Linked DNA regions of Saccharomyces cerevisiae S288C. The protein of the gene in region 2 interacts with the protein of the main gene of each other region in a pairwise test. Each region holds a gene or a part of one and is shown on either strand. Other genes may lie near its edges.

What was found. The genes of interacting proteins can lie anywhere in the genome.
Region 1: the proteins of RHO1 (region 2) and ROM2 interact in a two-hybrid assay, tested with the Saccharomyces cerevisiae proteins (3 studies listed by BioGRID, with this or other methods).
Region 3: the proteins of RHO1 (region 2) and BEM4 interact in a two-hybrid assay, tested with the Saccharomyces cerevisiae proteins (5 studies listed by BioGRID, with this or other methods).

What each region holds. Positions count from the first base shown.
Region 1 is NC_001144.5:860,734-867,344, reverse strand, and holds ROM2 (Rho family guanine nucleotide exchange factor ROM2), read right to left. Parts: upstream 4,632-6,611; coding exon 561-4,631; downstream 1-560. Other genes in the region: ARC18 (Arc18p), read left to right, coding at 5,091-5,627; Hsp70 family ATPase SSQ1, read right to left, coding at 5,820-6,611. UniProt on the Saccharomyces cerevisiae protein: Stimulates the exchange of RHO1 GDP-bound form into GTP-bound form.
Region 2 is NC_001148.4:873,387-876,557, reverse strand, and holds RHO1 (Rho family GTPase RHO1), read right to left. Parts: upstream 1,191-3,171; coding exon 561-1,190; downstream 1-560. Other genes in the region: mitochondrial 37S ribosomal protein uS14m MRP2, read left to right, coding at 1-276; MMS1 (Mms1p), read right to left, coding at 1,632-3,171. UniProt on the Saccharomyces cerevisiae protein: Acts as a central regulator in the cell wall integrity signaling pathway, which is regulated by the cell cycle and in response to various types of cell wall stress.
Region 3 is NC_001148.4:243,759-247,833, forward strand, and holds BEM4 (Bem4p), read right to left. Parts: upstream 2,463-4,075; coding exon 561-2,462; downstream 1-560. Other genes in the region: YPL162C (uncharacterized protein), read right to left, coding at 1-269; leucine--tRNA ligase CDC60, read left to right, coding at 3,232-4,075. UniProt on the Saccharomyces cerevisiae protein: Probably acts as a GEF (guanine nucleotide exchange factor) for the Rho family of small GTP-binding proteins (G proteins) that stimulates the dissociation of GDP to enable subsequent binding of GTP.

The sequences.
Region 1 (6,611 bases), on a different chromosome or scaffold from region 2:
TGTTTCGTAAACAAACGGAAAAAAGCCGAATAAATAAACTAGAAGTAAGCTTGAAGCGAGTGAAGAGCTGTCAAAAACCAATCAATGACCAAATAAAAAGACACCAGATATGCGGAAAATACACAGTACCTAACTGGGGTAATAAGTTAAATAAAACTTCAAACAAGGCTAAACAACAAACAGAAGACTCCAGATAAATATTTTATACAATTATTTACTAAGAACCTGTGAAAAAAAAAAAAGACAAGCCAAATGCGTAAGCCAACCTTTTGTTTATTCACAGTCTGGAAAATTTTCTGAAAATTTTTCACTTTGTGGACGGAATAAAAACTTCGAAGCTTTGGGAAGAAAAATTTCGCGTTTTTTTTTCTCGCGTCATCAATCATTTGCATACAAATCCCTCTGACGGTGAATTATCATTATTATATTATAAAATTATTATTTATGTCGTTTTCCACTATTGTCATCAATGTTTATTATTCATAATTCTGCTCCTTTTACAACTTTAGTTATGCTTTTTATTCTAAAGAAAATAAGGAAAGTCTATATACGTTGCTATCTTAACCCCAGAAATCTAACGACGCAACTGTATCATACCCGCGATAATCCTCGTAGCAGTACAGGATTTCTTGAGTACTTGTTTGTAGAAGTCGAATCTTATCAGCAAGGACGCAACGAATTAATTCGCCAGTTTCAATCTTTCTGATCTCAATGAAGTTGCTGTCGAATGCCAAGATGTACGGGTACCAAATTGCAAATTTTTGGGGCTCTCCCTCCCAATGAATAATATGCGATTCTTTCTTTCTCCAACCCTGATTATTGACAAAGAAGGCAAATTCTGTGTAACACAGCAAAAACATATTTCCCACACGATAGATTGCCATTGGTTTCAAAGTATCCCTTAGTGCAAACTCTAATGATGTATCGGCCGGATCTAACAAGGATTCATGAGCATTCTGTGAAATGCTAACGATCTGAAAACCCTTTTTACAGCCAATGCATAGGTTGGCCTTGAGAAATGAAATAGAGACAGGTTCAGAATCAAAAATAACCTCGGTGATTTTTTTCTTGAGACTTTTTTTGTTACCGCTACCACTACCATTTTTTTCGGCCAATAATGGATGTTCATGCTCGAAGTACTTAATTGAATGCGATGAACTGTGTGCAGTCACGATTAATCTCTTACCATTGCAATCTCCTTCTGCGAAGAAACTCACATGATTGATCAGTTCCTTGTGATGCTTTTTGAAGAAAGATGTCCCATTACCTTCTGCTTCGATTAATGACAGCGGACAACTGTATAATTTTTTATCAATTAAAAGTATGATTGATTTGAATTCTTCTAATACAGCAATTTGAGTGATATTATTTCTTTGTACTAGTTGGATTGGAGTTGAAAAAAAAGCAGAGCTTTTATGTCTATGATCTTTATTCTGCTGTCTTTTAATGTTGCTCATATACAATCCAGAGTTCGTTGCAATCAGAAGTTTTCTACCCCCATCACAGGAAGTAACACTGTTAATTTTGTTGGTGTAATCGAAGAACCTATCGCTCATTTTCGTTACATTGAACATCTCCGTTTTGCTTATAATAGCTGCTTGTCCTTGCTTTATTTTTTCCAAAAGCGTTTGCAATCCAGCGTATTGCGCAGCATATAATGTAACTTGATATCTCTGCTTGGCACCGTAGTATAAGAAAGTTATTGCGTTTTTAGGATTACTCGTGTTGTATTCTGGTTGAATTACAGTTCCTGAACAATCTGGGTGGTCTCCAATATATTTCCTCAACGCAGGCATATCTTCACCTGGACATGCAAATAACAATGGCAATGGAATGGGCCTTTGGAATACCTTATGCTGGTGCCATTTATTAACTGCTTTGGCCTTTAAAAATAAGAGCATATTATCTAGAAGATAAAATTGTATGTCACCAACAACTGTTCCGTCCGATTTTGACAACTCCTTCCGTGATAGTATACCTTCATGTTTAATTTTTCTCCTTTCGTCATTTAATCCTAAATTAACGTATTCGTTTTTGAAAAGAATCTTTTGTTTCAACAATTTTACATCATGTCTATCTTGTGCAGCACCACTTGCTTGATCAATCCTTTTCATAAAATCCCTTAATGCATCCATGGCTTTGCTTAAATCTTCATAATCACTTTTGTCCTTCTCGGGGTCAGTAGATTTCATGATTTCTTTGACCAATAGCATATATCGACCTGGTCTTGAAACACCTTGAGATAAAAACGAATCAATACCATGACGTAAGGAGGAGCTCATCATATCGTCATCAAATCTAGCAAAATAGGGATTGACTGATCTTTGGGTTTCAATCAAGTACTTCGCATATGGTCTTGAAGCGACATATGAAACAAATGGTTCAAAAAATGGAATGAATCTTAAAACAATGTCCCCAATTCCTCTCACAACTGGTGAACTTCTTTGCCTATCAGTTAAAGCCTTCAAAAAACGTCTATTCACTGAATAGATATCGTTTATATGTGCAAAAACATGCTTGATGAAATTTTTTCTAATATCTGCTGAAATAATATTTGTTTCAGCCAAAGTCTTCATGAATGTGTCTCTTGTAATTTCTAATGATTTTACAAAGTTCTTCTCCGTGATATAAACTTCATAAATAGCCTCTTGTCTTTTTATTTCCTTTTTTGGTAAGTTTTCCCAATCCTCTTTAGATACGGAACTTGTCCAAGATGGCTTTTCTTCGTCATCATCATCCAATGCCATTGATATATTACGTTTCAGGCCGCCATTTGGTTTCAGATTTAACCTTGCTTGTTGCTCAAGACGTCTTGGACACGAAATAGAGTAACACAAAGCGTCTCTTGTGCACGTAGGGGAATAGCATTCCGCCAGTAATGTAAACACACCATTGACGTTATGAATGGCTGCAGGGTTCTTTTGCTGGGACAATGAACTACTCATATGTAGCCTCGACCCTGTCAAAGTTGCCTGATCACTATTCAAAGATGAAGTTGAACTTGATGGAACCATTCCGGAATTCGGATAAGAGTGGTTCCCGGAATTAAAAGATGATGAGTTTGGGAGTAGCATCAGTGGATCATGGGCGTTTGTGGAACCTGTTCCTGTAAATCTTGAGTTATCTGTAAATTCGTAAACTTCATGTGGTGAATCTCTTAACCTGTGCTCGTATACCACATCATGGAACAGCTTTTGTGCATCTAGTGATCTACCAAATAACAAGGCTAAGTTTCTATCAGAAGTTCTAATGATAGCACAGATGACATCGACTGCCTGCTGCCCTGTAAATGCGTCACGGTAAACTAATCCATCCTTCTTATGTTCCCCGAGTTGTATCGAACTTTTAAATTTTGTGGCGACTCTTGACAACAAAGCTGGATATACCTGAGGTTTTTTTGATGAAGCGCTCATAACAGGTCTAGATGCCGACAAAGGTGTCATACTACTTCTACGTGGAGAAGATAGAGAAGTTCCTGAAACCGAAGTGTATCTTTTTAAAGCTAATGAGGTGGAAGAAACTCTCGTTTTAAGACCCAACCCAATATTAGACGAGCTTCCCATAACACTTGAGGAGTTTCCAGACCCGTGGACATTATTTAGGCTACTGTGACTGTTTGAAGAGTGATGATGATGATGATGATGATGAGGATCTGAGAATGGGTTGGAAGTTATATCATATTTTTGCGTAGCTTTCCTGCTGTTAGAAGTCTTCGATTGAAAAGATGATGCAATATTTTTTAGAGTAGATGAGTTCAACGACATCGATCTAGATGATATAGAATGTGAATGTTGAGGGTAATTACTGTTACTACTACCCACTTGATAATGTGCGCCATTATTATTAGTATTATTATTATTATGATTGTTAATATTATTATGCTGAATATGCTGGTGATGTTGGTGCTGTTCGTGCAAGTCTTTGGAACTTGGTCTCGAAAAGAAACCAAACCCTTGCAAAGGCGATTTTCTAGCCTGTGTAGGAGTGGTTGATGCACTGCCGGTGGAAAAACTGCTCTGCTTCTTAAGACCAGCAAGTGCTAGTTGCGGGAGCGAAGGTTTCCTCTTAGGCACAAAAGCTGTAGTACTTTTATTCTTCTGGTAAACTTCATTTCTTGGAGACATTGGAGGCAAAGGGTGGTCATTATAGTGCTTGGCTTGTCTACTAGCACTATTACTCGTTGAATATATATGGGACATCGATTTAGCATGAACAATGGGATGGGAAGATGTGGCATCTCTTGCCTTCTTTGGACTGCTCACAGGTGTATTATCAGCACTAGACAAACTTTGTGTATCTGGAACTTCCTTAATATTAGTCTGCTGCGATAAAATGTAATTTGAGCTTTTCCCCTTCATTTCGTTATTTGGTATATCAGAATCATCGATGGCGGCTTCAACTCCAGAACGTCTCCTCTGCTTGGCAATAATGATGTCATTAGCAATGTCTTCAGAAAGCAGAACATTTAGATTCTGGATATTTTCGATTCTATTAGGCAGCAGCTGAGAACTTATGTCTCCGTGCGAGTCACTATCAAAAGTAGCGAAGGAATCTGGCCTCCTTTCTACACCAAATATTTGGGAGTATATGTCATTTCTGTCCCCTAAGCTGTCAACGTTGGTTTCGCTCATAACCGCAGGAAAAGAGATGAATTGTCCAATTAAGTCAGCAGTAATAGAGCACTGTAATCGATTACACTAACAGAGCGAATGAATATATTAATGACCACAAACAACAAATAAAAAAATAGCTATAAAACAGCAAAAAAAAAATCCAGGAAAACCTAATCGGCTCAATACTGTTATTAAATTAGGTCGTCAGTACTCACTGGTCATAATGCCCTTTAAAAACTTTCTTCAAGCCTTAGGACCTCGGACTTCCATACCATTGTTTTCACTATCATTCTCTCTCAGTTTCACAGACTCGGCCGTTACGCGGATCATCCACCACGAACCCCTATCCTTTCCGTTGCGGTTTGGTTTAGTATAACAATGAATAACAATAAATTAAACACTTGGTGCGCAGTAACAAACATCAATAAAGGAAGATTATTGGTATTATCAGTCTCTCCACTCCCAGTATATTAATAAATGCCTGCGTATCACTCGACTTTCCCTGTAGATCCTAACACTGACCGCATGGTAGGGAACTTTGCGCTTCTGCCCTTGAACACTAAGTTCAGGGGTCCTGCATACCCCAGCAATTCCGATTACGATATTATCGACGAGTGCTTGGACCTATTTCGTGCCAATTCCTTCTTCAAGAATTTTGAAATTAAATCACCCGCCGACAGAGTGCTCATCTACGGAATTCTCTTTATCAATGATTGCCTAGCCCATTTGAAAATAACAACGTCATTTAACGAAGCCGTCAAAGTGTTAACCAATGTGGCCTTGGACAACTTTACTTTACCAGGTACACCGGGTTTCCCTCTGAATAATGTTTACCAAGTTCCAGTACAAGATCATAATTCGATGGACTTGTTGAAGACTTATATTCAGCAATTCCGTCAAGAATTGGCAATGAGACTATTAGAAAGAGTCTATAGCTCTACAGATTCTAAGGAATATCCCTCAAAGTTTTGGTTGGCGTTCACAAGAAGAAGATTCATGAACAAATCTCTATAAAGGTATACGGTGCAAGGAAAATAATAAAAACTAGAATTTATGGGAACATAATAATCCACATGCAACTTTATTTGAACCGAAAATTTGAAACGGGAAAGAAATATATAAATGTATAAAGTATAAATACGTCAAAATATGCTTTAATGAACGATATACACGTTAATATACAAGTCTTATTTGTGTTTTGTTCACTTATTTACCTTGATTCTGCTGGTTTTTTGTTGCGCTTTGGAATAATTTTAATGCCCTACCCTGTAGCGCATCCGTAGCTTTTTTTATTCCGTTTACATCAATTGACATGTCATTTTCGTTAGCCTTAAAATTCTTTATAGCTTGTCTCAGAGCTTTGATGTCCTCTACGATATTAGAATACTCTTTTTCGCTAGAAATCAGTTTTTCATATCTTTTAAATAAATTCTCAGTATCACTTATCATAATGTCAGCCTTAGAGATAAGCTCTAACCTTTGCCTGATCAAGTTATCTTGTGCCCTATTTGCATTTGCTTCTTCAATAAGTTTTGCAATTTCCTCTTCGCTTAACCCAGAATTTGGTATTACAGTAATGGATTGTTGTTTCCCACTACTTTTCTCAGCGGCAGATACGTTGATGATACCATCCGCATCGATATCAAAAGTAACATATATTTGGGGAATGCCTTTAGGCAAAGGGGTGATTCCTGTAAGTTTCAAATCACCAATCAACTTGTTGTTACGCACTAACCCTCTTTCACCCTGAAAAACTTTGATATCAACACCCGCTTGCCCATCAACACCAGTACTAAATATCTCTGTTTTTTTTACTGGAACTGTCGTATTTCTAGGTATCAAGGGTGAGAACGCTCCTCCAAATGTTTCAATCCCTAATGTCAATGGTGTCACATCCAAAAGTAAGACATTCTTTATTTCACCGGATAGAATACCACCTTGAATAGCTGCTCCTAAAGCAACTGTTTCATCTGGGTTAACACTAGAATTTGGAGACTT
Region 2 (3,171 bases):
AACTTCAAAAGACAACAATTTAAAGAGAATGAAATCCTTGTTAAATCTTTGAAATTCATCGCTAGAAATATGAACCTTCCAACAAAACTGAGGTTGGAGGCTCAGTTAAAACTAAATGCATTGCCAAACTACATGAGATCTACGCAGATCAAAAATAGGTGCGTGGACTCTGGACATGCAAGATTTGTTCTAAGTGATTTTAGGTTGTGTAGGTATCAATTTAGAGAAAACGCTCTGAAGGGTAATTTGCCAGGTGTTAAGAAGGGTATTTGGTAAAAAATTTTATCGCGAAAGTATATATATATATATATATAGGATACGCACTTGTAAATAAATACATGATAATTTTTATTCTTCTTTAATAGATGATAATACTTACTGAGCAATACACTTATATGTAGAGAAGAATAAGATTATACACATACTGGGAGAAAAACAAGTAGCTATAGTTAGAGCTAAAATAACAAAAAAAGGCATACGTACATACAATGAGAAAAGGAATGGGATTGAAAAAGGGCAGTATCTGCCACTAAGTTAACGACTGAGAGATCGAGACACTCCTATAACAAGACACACTTCTTCTTCTTCTTTTCAGTAGTGTTCTTCTTAGCTTTACCATTCGTTTTAGATTTACCCATCAATGAAGCTCTAGTGGCGGCCTCAAACACTTCTCTGACACCATAACCAGTCTTGGCCGAACATTCGTAGTATCCGGTTGCGCCAATCTGGTCTGCTACAGATTGTCCCTCCTGTGATGTAACGGGTTGTTGACCTTCTTGTCTTAATTGTTCAATGGTTTGTGGGTCGTTTCTCAAATCCACTTTACAACCAACAAGAATAATTGGCACACCTTGACAGAAATGTAATACTTCGGCAATCCATTTTTCTTGTACATTCTCTAAAGAATCTGGAAGATCGATAGAGAAACAAATTAATACGACATTGGAGTCTGGGTATGACAATGGTCTTAGTCTATCATAATCTTCTTGACCAGCGGTATCCCATAGCGCTAGCTCTACACGACGCCCATCAACTTCAACATCTGCTACATAGTTTTCAAAGACAGTTGGTACGTAGACTTCTGGAAATTGGCCCTTGGAAAAGACGATTAATAAACATGTCTTACCACAGGCACCATCACCAACGATTACCAGCTTTCTTCTGATACTGTTACCAACTTGTTGTGACATCTTTCTAGTATAATTTTTAAAGTTCTATGATTTTCTATTAGTGCAACAATAAACCTCTAACAGCGATTCTTTTGTTTTATTAATTTTGTTCCTTTTTTGAGTTTTGTAACTTTAAGTTTGGGTTGTTCCAAAAATGTTTTTGCAATACTCAGAGGAATGATCGATGGTCGAAACGATATTAAAGACGAATTCCTGCTGGTAAAATAAATATATACGATTAGGATAAAGAAGTATTTGTATCAACTACTAAAACATGTAGTACCCAATACAAATCAAACAAAAATTGTATAATCTGTTTATTTTTTTTTCTGAGGCGAAGCAAATTGGAAACAACAAGAATTCTTGTATCTTTTTTTAGCCCCTTGTCACGCTGCACGACGCGTAGCACATTGATCGAGAATCACGATTTTATCAGCGACAATGTTATTGGAAATGAGGGAATTATACTGTGTTCTTGCAGTTATCGCTAAGGTTCCATAACCCAACCTCACAGATGAGGTCAGATTTAACTATTGACCTTCTTGAAACCAAATAGCCAGAATTCCATCTTGGTTCGTATTCGTCCTGGCAAGGCAACCTGTCCTTGCCGAATTTGTGAATTGTTTGATCTGCCATTAGCACATATAAAGTTTGTACTGCGGGATCGTAACTAATATCTTGAATAGGCTTGTCCAATGCTACCGCATTATAGGGAGATAGTCTTTTAGTTCTCATTGCAGTGCTTCCTAATATAGAACTTATATCCTCAAAATAACGGGATGATACATGATCCTCATATACTATAGTGGCGGCTCGGCGTAGTGAAGGTTTTGGTGTAGAAGAGTGGTTTCGCCAAAAGAGTAGTAAATTTCTACGCTGCCTTAGGGCAACCTCTGCTTCGTCATTCTCCGACCGTATGCCTTCGCTGTAACGATTTACGTGCCTCTCACCATGTAAAACATCATACAAAGCCATAGTGCCAAATTGAAATCCTTCAGGAAAGTCAACCTCGAATATGTCGTCGACTCTCCCATTCCCATATTCATCTGGTAGGCTGCCTGTTTCGTTATTAAGCCCAACTTTGATGGTGGGTAAAGAGTAAAAAATTAATCTTGAATCTAAATCGTTCCTATTTCCACAGTAAGCGGCAACAACAAAGCAGCATTCATTTAATGGTATTATCTTTTGAACTTTTGAATCAGGATACATTTCCAAGGGATACACCCTTCTCGATTCGTCAGATGATGAAGAGAAATCCTTAATCAAGTAGAGCTTTTCGCCCATATTTGTGGTAGCAATGATATTATCGCCTACTACAGTAAACGTCTTAACTGTACTCCAACTCTTAAATGTAAACCGGGTTTCCAAAGTGAGCCGCAAAGTCGTATTATTTCTCTCCTCCTGGTCAATGCAATGTTTTGTGACTTTCAACTTGTTAAAGGACATTTCGTTATCGGTGCCCATAACTTTATAATCCAGAAAGAATATTTCACCTCTGGGAGTAATGACCAAATGATTGAGGAGTCTTGAATTGTCAAGTTTATACGAATCTATTATTTGATTGGAAATTTTGTTTTTTGCAGCAGTTAATAAAACTAGTTTTAATGAGCTAGTAAAAGAGATCAATAATACAGTTTTCTTTTCTAAAGGATTGTCCTCTGTTGCTATTGGTAATTCCTTTATTTCTAGGATTTCTTCAGAATCATCCTTAAGAAGTTGAGAATCTAAACCAACTGCCTTACCATCTGATAGTCTAATACACTCCCATTCCCTCAAGTCCTGATTCAATACCAGCATTCGATTTATTTTGTCTAGATATAAAAATTTCTTATTTTTGCTTCTTGTAGATTTTAATAAGAAATTTCCATTATTTGATGTTAGGTATGATAGTTCGAGGATTCTTAAGCCATCAGAGTAGAGTATGAATAATTGGTTGTTTTCTATGTCCGGACAGACTTCAAGAATTGAATTGTTATTACCTAGGTGCGGTAATTTTAGCTTG
Region 3 (4,075 bases), 630 kb from region 2:
TCATCATCATTGCCTTTTGCAGTGATTGCGAAGAGTGACCTTCGTCTTTTCTTCAGTATGCTGATGCCTAGATTCAAAAAATGGATTCCAAGAGAGCCGATGATTTGTTTTCCAATGTCATAACTCCACACAATCATTTTTCTCCTTGGATGCTCATAGTTTCTTTTCACCAATAACACAATCACGGCTGTCATACCCATCAATGTCTGGACAAAAAGAGACACGGGCCCCAACAACTGGCAAGTGTCTTTCCCATTAGAAACATACATATTCTTTTCGATTAATTGGCAGTTCTGCTGAACTTGTGTGACTGTTGGGCCTCCTGCTAATATGTATTAGAACTTTTTCTGCTTAGTACATTCAAGTACTTTTGTGCAGATGTTCGCATCTGCAATAAACTTTTAATCTCCCTTCCACTCTCATCGTCTACAAACCCATACACCATTTGTCAAGCACATGCTTAATCCAACAATATTCAAGATTTAATATTTATATATATATATATATATATACATGCAGAGGGAACGTTTTCTCCCCTCGTAGGTAAGGCGATTACGTGTCTAAAAGAACGATTTTGCAAGCGCTTCTAAATTTTGTTCCTCTGGCGTTAAGCATTTCGTATTTTTCACAATGTTTAGTATTATGCCCGCTATAAATTTCCCATTGTTGAAACAACTCTCGCTACCCTTATCTTTATTTTCTTTAAATGAAAGTATGGTCTCTAATATCAGGGTTAACTTTTGAATGTAATCCTTGAATAGTATATTTTCAATCGGATTCACGTCAGCTGTTACACTTGAATCTTTTAAATAAATTCCAACCGTTTTTGTGATATGAAATAAATCTGAGATGCTTAGTTGTTCTGCTTGACCTAAATTTTGGAATTTGAAGATCGAATCCCATAGGGATGTAATAGCTTCTTTAGGAAGGGCTTTCTTGGACACAAGCAGCTTATCCATCGCAATACAGGACGTTAACGTTCCATGCTCTGCTATAAAAGAGATAATTGTTGGATCACTGCTTATTGAATTGTGTATTTTTGAACTTGGAAGCACCGTTAAAGTTTTGTTTAATAAATTTGTTAATAACGATCTCAGGTTGTTATAATATTTAGTTTGCTCGTGACATCTTCTCATAATCTGAAATAGGGTGAAGAGGTCCTTGATATCTAGCCACATGGTATTTTCCAGATTTAACAGCTTCCTCAGTAAATCTAGGAATCCTTGATATTGTAGTGGGTCTTGTAGCAAGCTACCAACTTGAATCAATTCACTAAGAGATATGAGCTTCAGTAGCGCGACAGCGTCACTTTTGGATGCAACTGAGTTACATAATATCATCAAAGCTGCGGCTAGGGCATAACTACTTGCGGAACTCTTAATAGTTTCGATACATAATGATTGCTCTCGTTTGTTAGAGTTTGTTAGGTTGGCGGAGATGTTGCCTGCGCACGATATGAGTCTTCTCATTACAATTAGCTTATTATTGAAGGTTTTTGATTCTAAGCAAACTAAGGACAATATTAAATTTTTTTGCATGCTTAGCACAAGCTGCTCCTCATTGGTAAAGTTTATAGTTTCATCCTTGGCTACAATAGTTTCAAGACATGTTGACAGATTTAATAGCAATTCACAATTAACGTCCTCCTCATCATCTTCTTCCTCTTTTTCGATGTACTCTTGATTTCCTTGGCCAGCGAACTTCTGAGTTTCAGTATTTGAATATGCTTCGACTGCTCCATCTTCCATTGCCTGCAATTCTTTATTTTGCACATTTGAAGAGATTTTTTTGATGTACTGGCTTAAGAAAAAGAGATCGCTTATTTGAACATTTGAGTAATTGACTTTTAAAATATCGTTCAATAAATCTGAACCTAAAACAACTTTTTCGGGAGATGACAAATAGCTATATTGTGTGGTTTTCAACAAAACAAATAATGGACCTCTAATGAAGGGAGCCAAATTTTCTGTATACTTGAGATTTCCAATGCAAAAATTCCTTAGTAGCACAACTGACCGCATCTGTAATTTATCCACTAAGCTATCCTCACTCTTGTCAGAAGAAATTTCGTCCAGCTGAAGAACCCCGCCTATATAATAATTAAGAAGCTTTTTACCTCCAGAATCCAAGAGAATTTCCCGATTATCATCATTATCAATTATTGCGTTAGCGATACATCTAATCACTTCAGAACTGATCTCATAAAACGCTATTTTATCATTAATTGAAATGCTCGTATCATGAAAGCAGATATCAAGCGCTTGTTCTAATACTCTTACTAGGTTCAGTAGCAGCCCAGTTTTACCAACAATATCTCTATTACTTGGTTCTCTCAACGAAACAGCCAATTGGTCCATTACCGCTAGGTAGCTTCCTAAGTAGACATCGTTCATCGGAACATCCTTTATTGAAGACGCATTGAGGATCGGTTGCAGACCAAATAAAATTTCTTCGTAATCCATTTAGTAGGACAGTTATTTTCACTTGAAACCACAATCTTTTGGGGCTGAAATATAGATGAGGTGATTTGTTATTCGCGGTTAGTTTTAGTTCGCGAGTGACCTGCTTACGTTGTCTTCAGCCATTTTACGTTGCTTGGCTTGCCGCCGGCGGGTAATATGATCTTATTTTGACATGGTTAAAGAAAAATACTTTTGACTAAGTACCTTTATCACAAGAAAGTTTAGGAAGGGATTCACTATTTGAAGATCAGACAAATGAGTATACGATATTGGCTCAATATTTTAGCCGAGTTTGCTTAAACTTAGTGGCAGAACTTTAGTCATGGGAAGACAAGAACGATCTTACGAGGCCCTTAGGACCTCGGCGGCTAACAGTAAAACTGGTAACTGACGGACAAGGAATATCAAGGTCATATTTTGAAAAGGTCTTTTTGGGTGACTACTTGGGTAAGAAATAATTAGACGAAGTTTCTTTCTGATGTGTATTGAACTAGTGCTCGTGCTTACATACACATCGCCCATTATTGCCTATAGTTATCCTCACTTTATACGAGGTCTGGCCGTTAACGGTTCTTTTACATTGAAAAACTAAATCAGTCACCCACGCAAATAATGAAAAAAAAAAAAAAATCAAAAGCGAAAAGAAACCTAACGCATATTCTATTCAAACGTTGAATGATTGTATTATTATAAATCATAATCACGTAAAGCCACCGAAATTTTTTTCCAGAGTGAAGAATATAAAAAAAATATCTTTAACCAGTCTATAATGTCTTCTGGTTTGGTCTTAGAAAACACGGCACGTAGAGATGCGTTAATCGCCATCGAAAAGAAGTACCAAAAAATATGGGCTGAAGAGCACCAATTTGAAATCGATGCGCCATCAATCGAAGATGAGCCCATTACAATGGACTCTGAAGAGTTACATCGCACGTATCCTAAATTCATGTCGTCTATGGCCTATCCTTATATGAACGGTGTTATGCACGCCGGCCATTGTTTTACTCTCTCCAAAGTCGAATTTTCTATTGGTTTTGAAAGGATGAACGGTAAAAGAGCTTTGTTTCCATTGGGTTTTCACTGTACAGGTATGCCAATCTTAGCATGTGCCGATAAACTAAAGAGGGAAGCCGAACTTTTTGGCAAGAACTTCGACAATGTACCAGCAGAAGAAGAAGAAATTAAAGAAGAAACGCCGGCTGAGAAAGACCACGAGGATGTTACCAAATTCAAAGCTAAAAAATCTAAAGCCGCAGCCAAGAAGGGCCGTGGTAAGTACCAATTCGAAATCATGTTACAGCTTGGTATCCCTAGAGAAGAAATCATTAAGTTCGCCGACGCCAAGTACTGGTTGACCTATTTCCCACCTTTGTGTGAAAGTGATTGTACTTCACTTGGGGCTCGTATCGATTGGAGACGTTCTTTTGTCACCACTGATGCCAATCCTTATTACGATGCCTTTATTAGATGGCAAATGAACAAGTTAAAGGCTGCTGGTAAAATCAAATTCGGTGAACGTTATACTATTTACTCTGAAAAAGATGGTCAAGCTTGTATGGATCACGATAGACAATCCGGTGAAGGTGTTACACCACAAGAATATATTGGTGTGA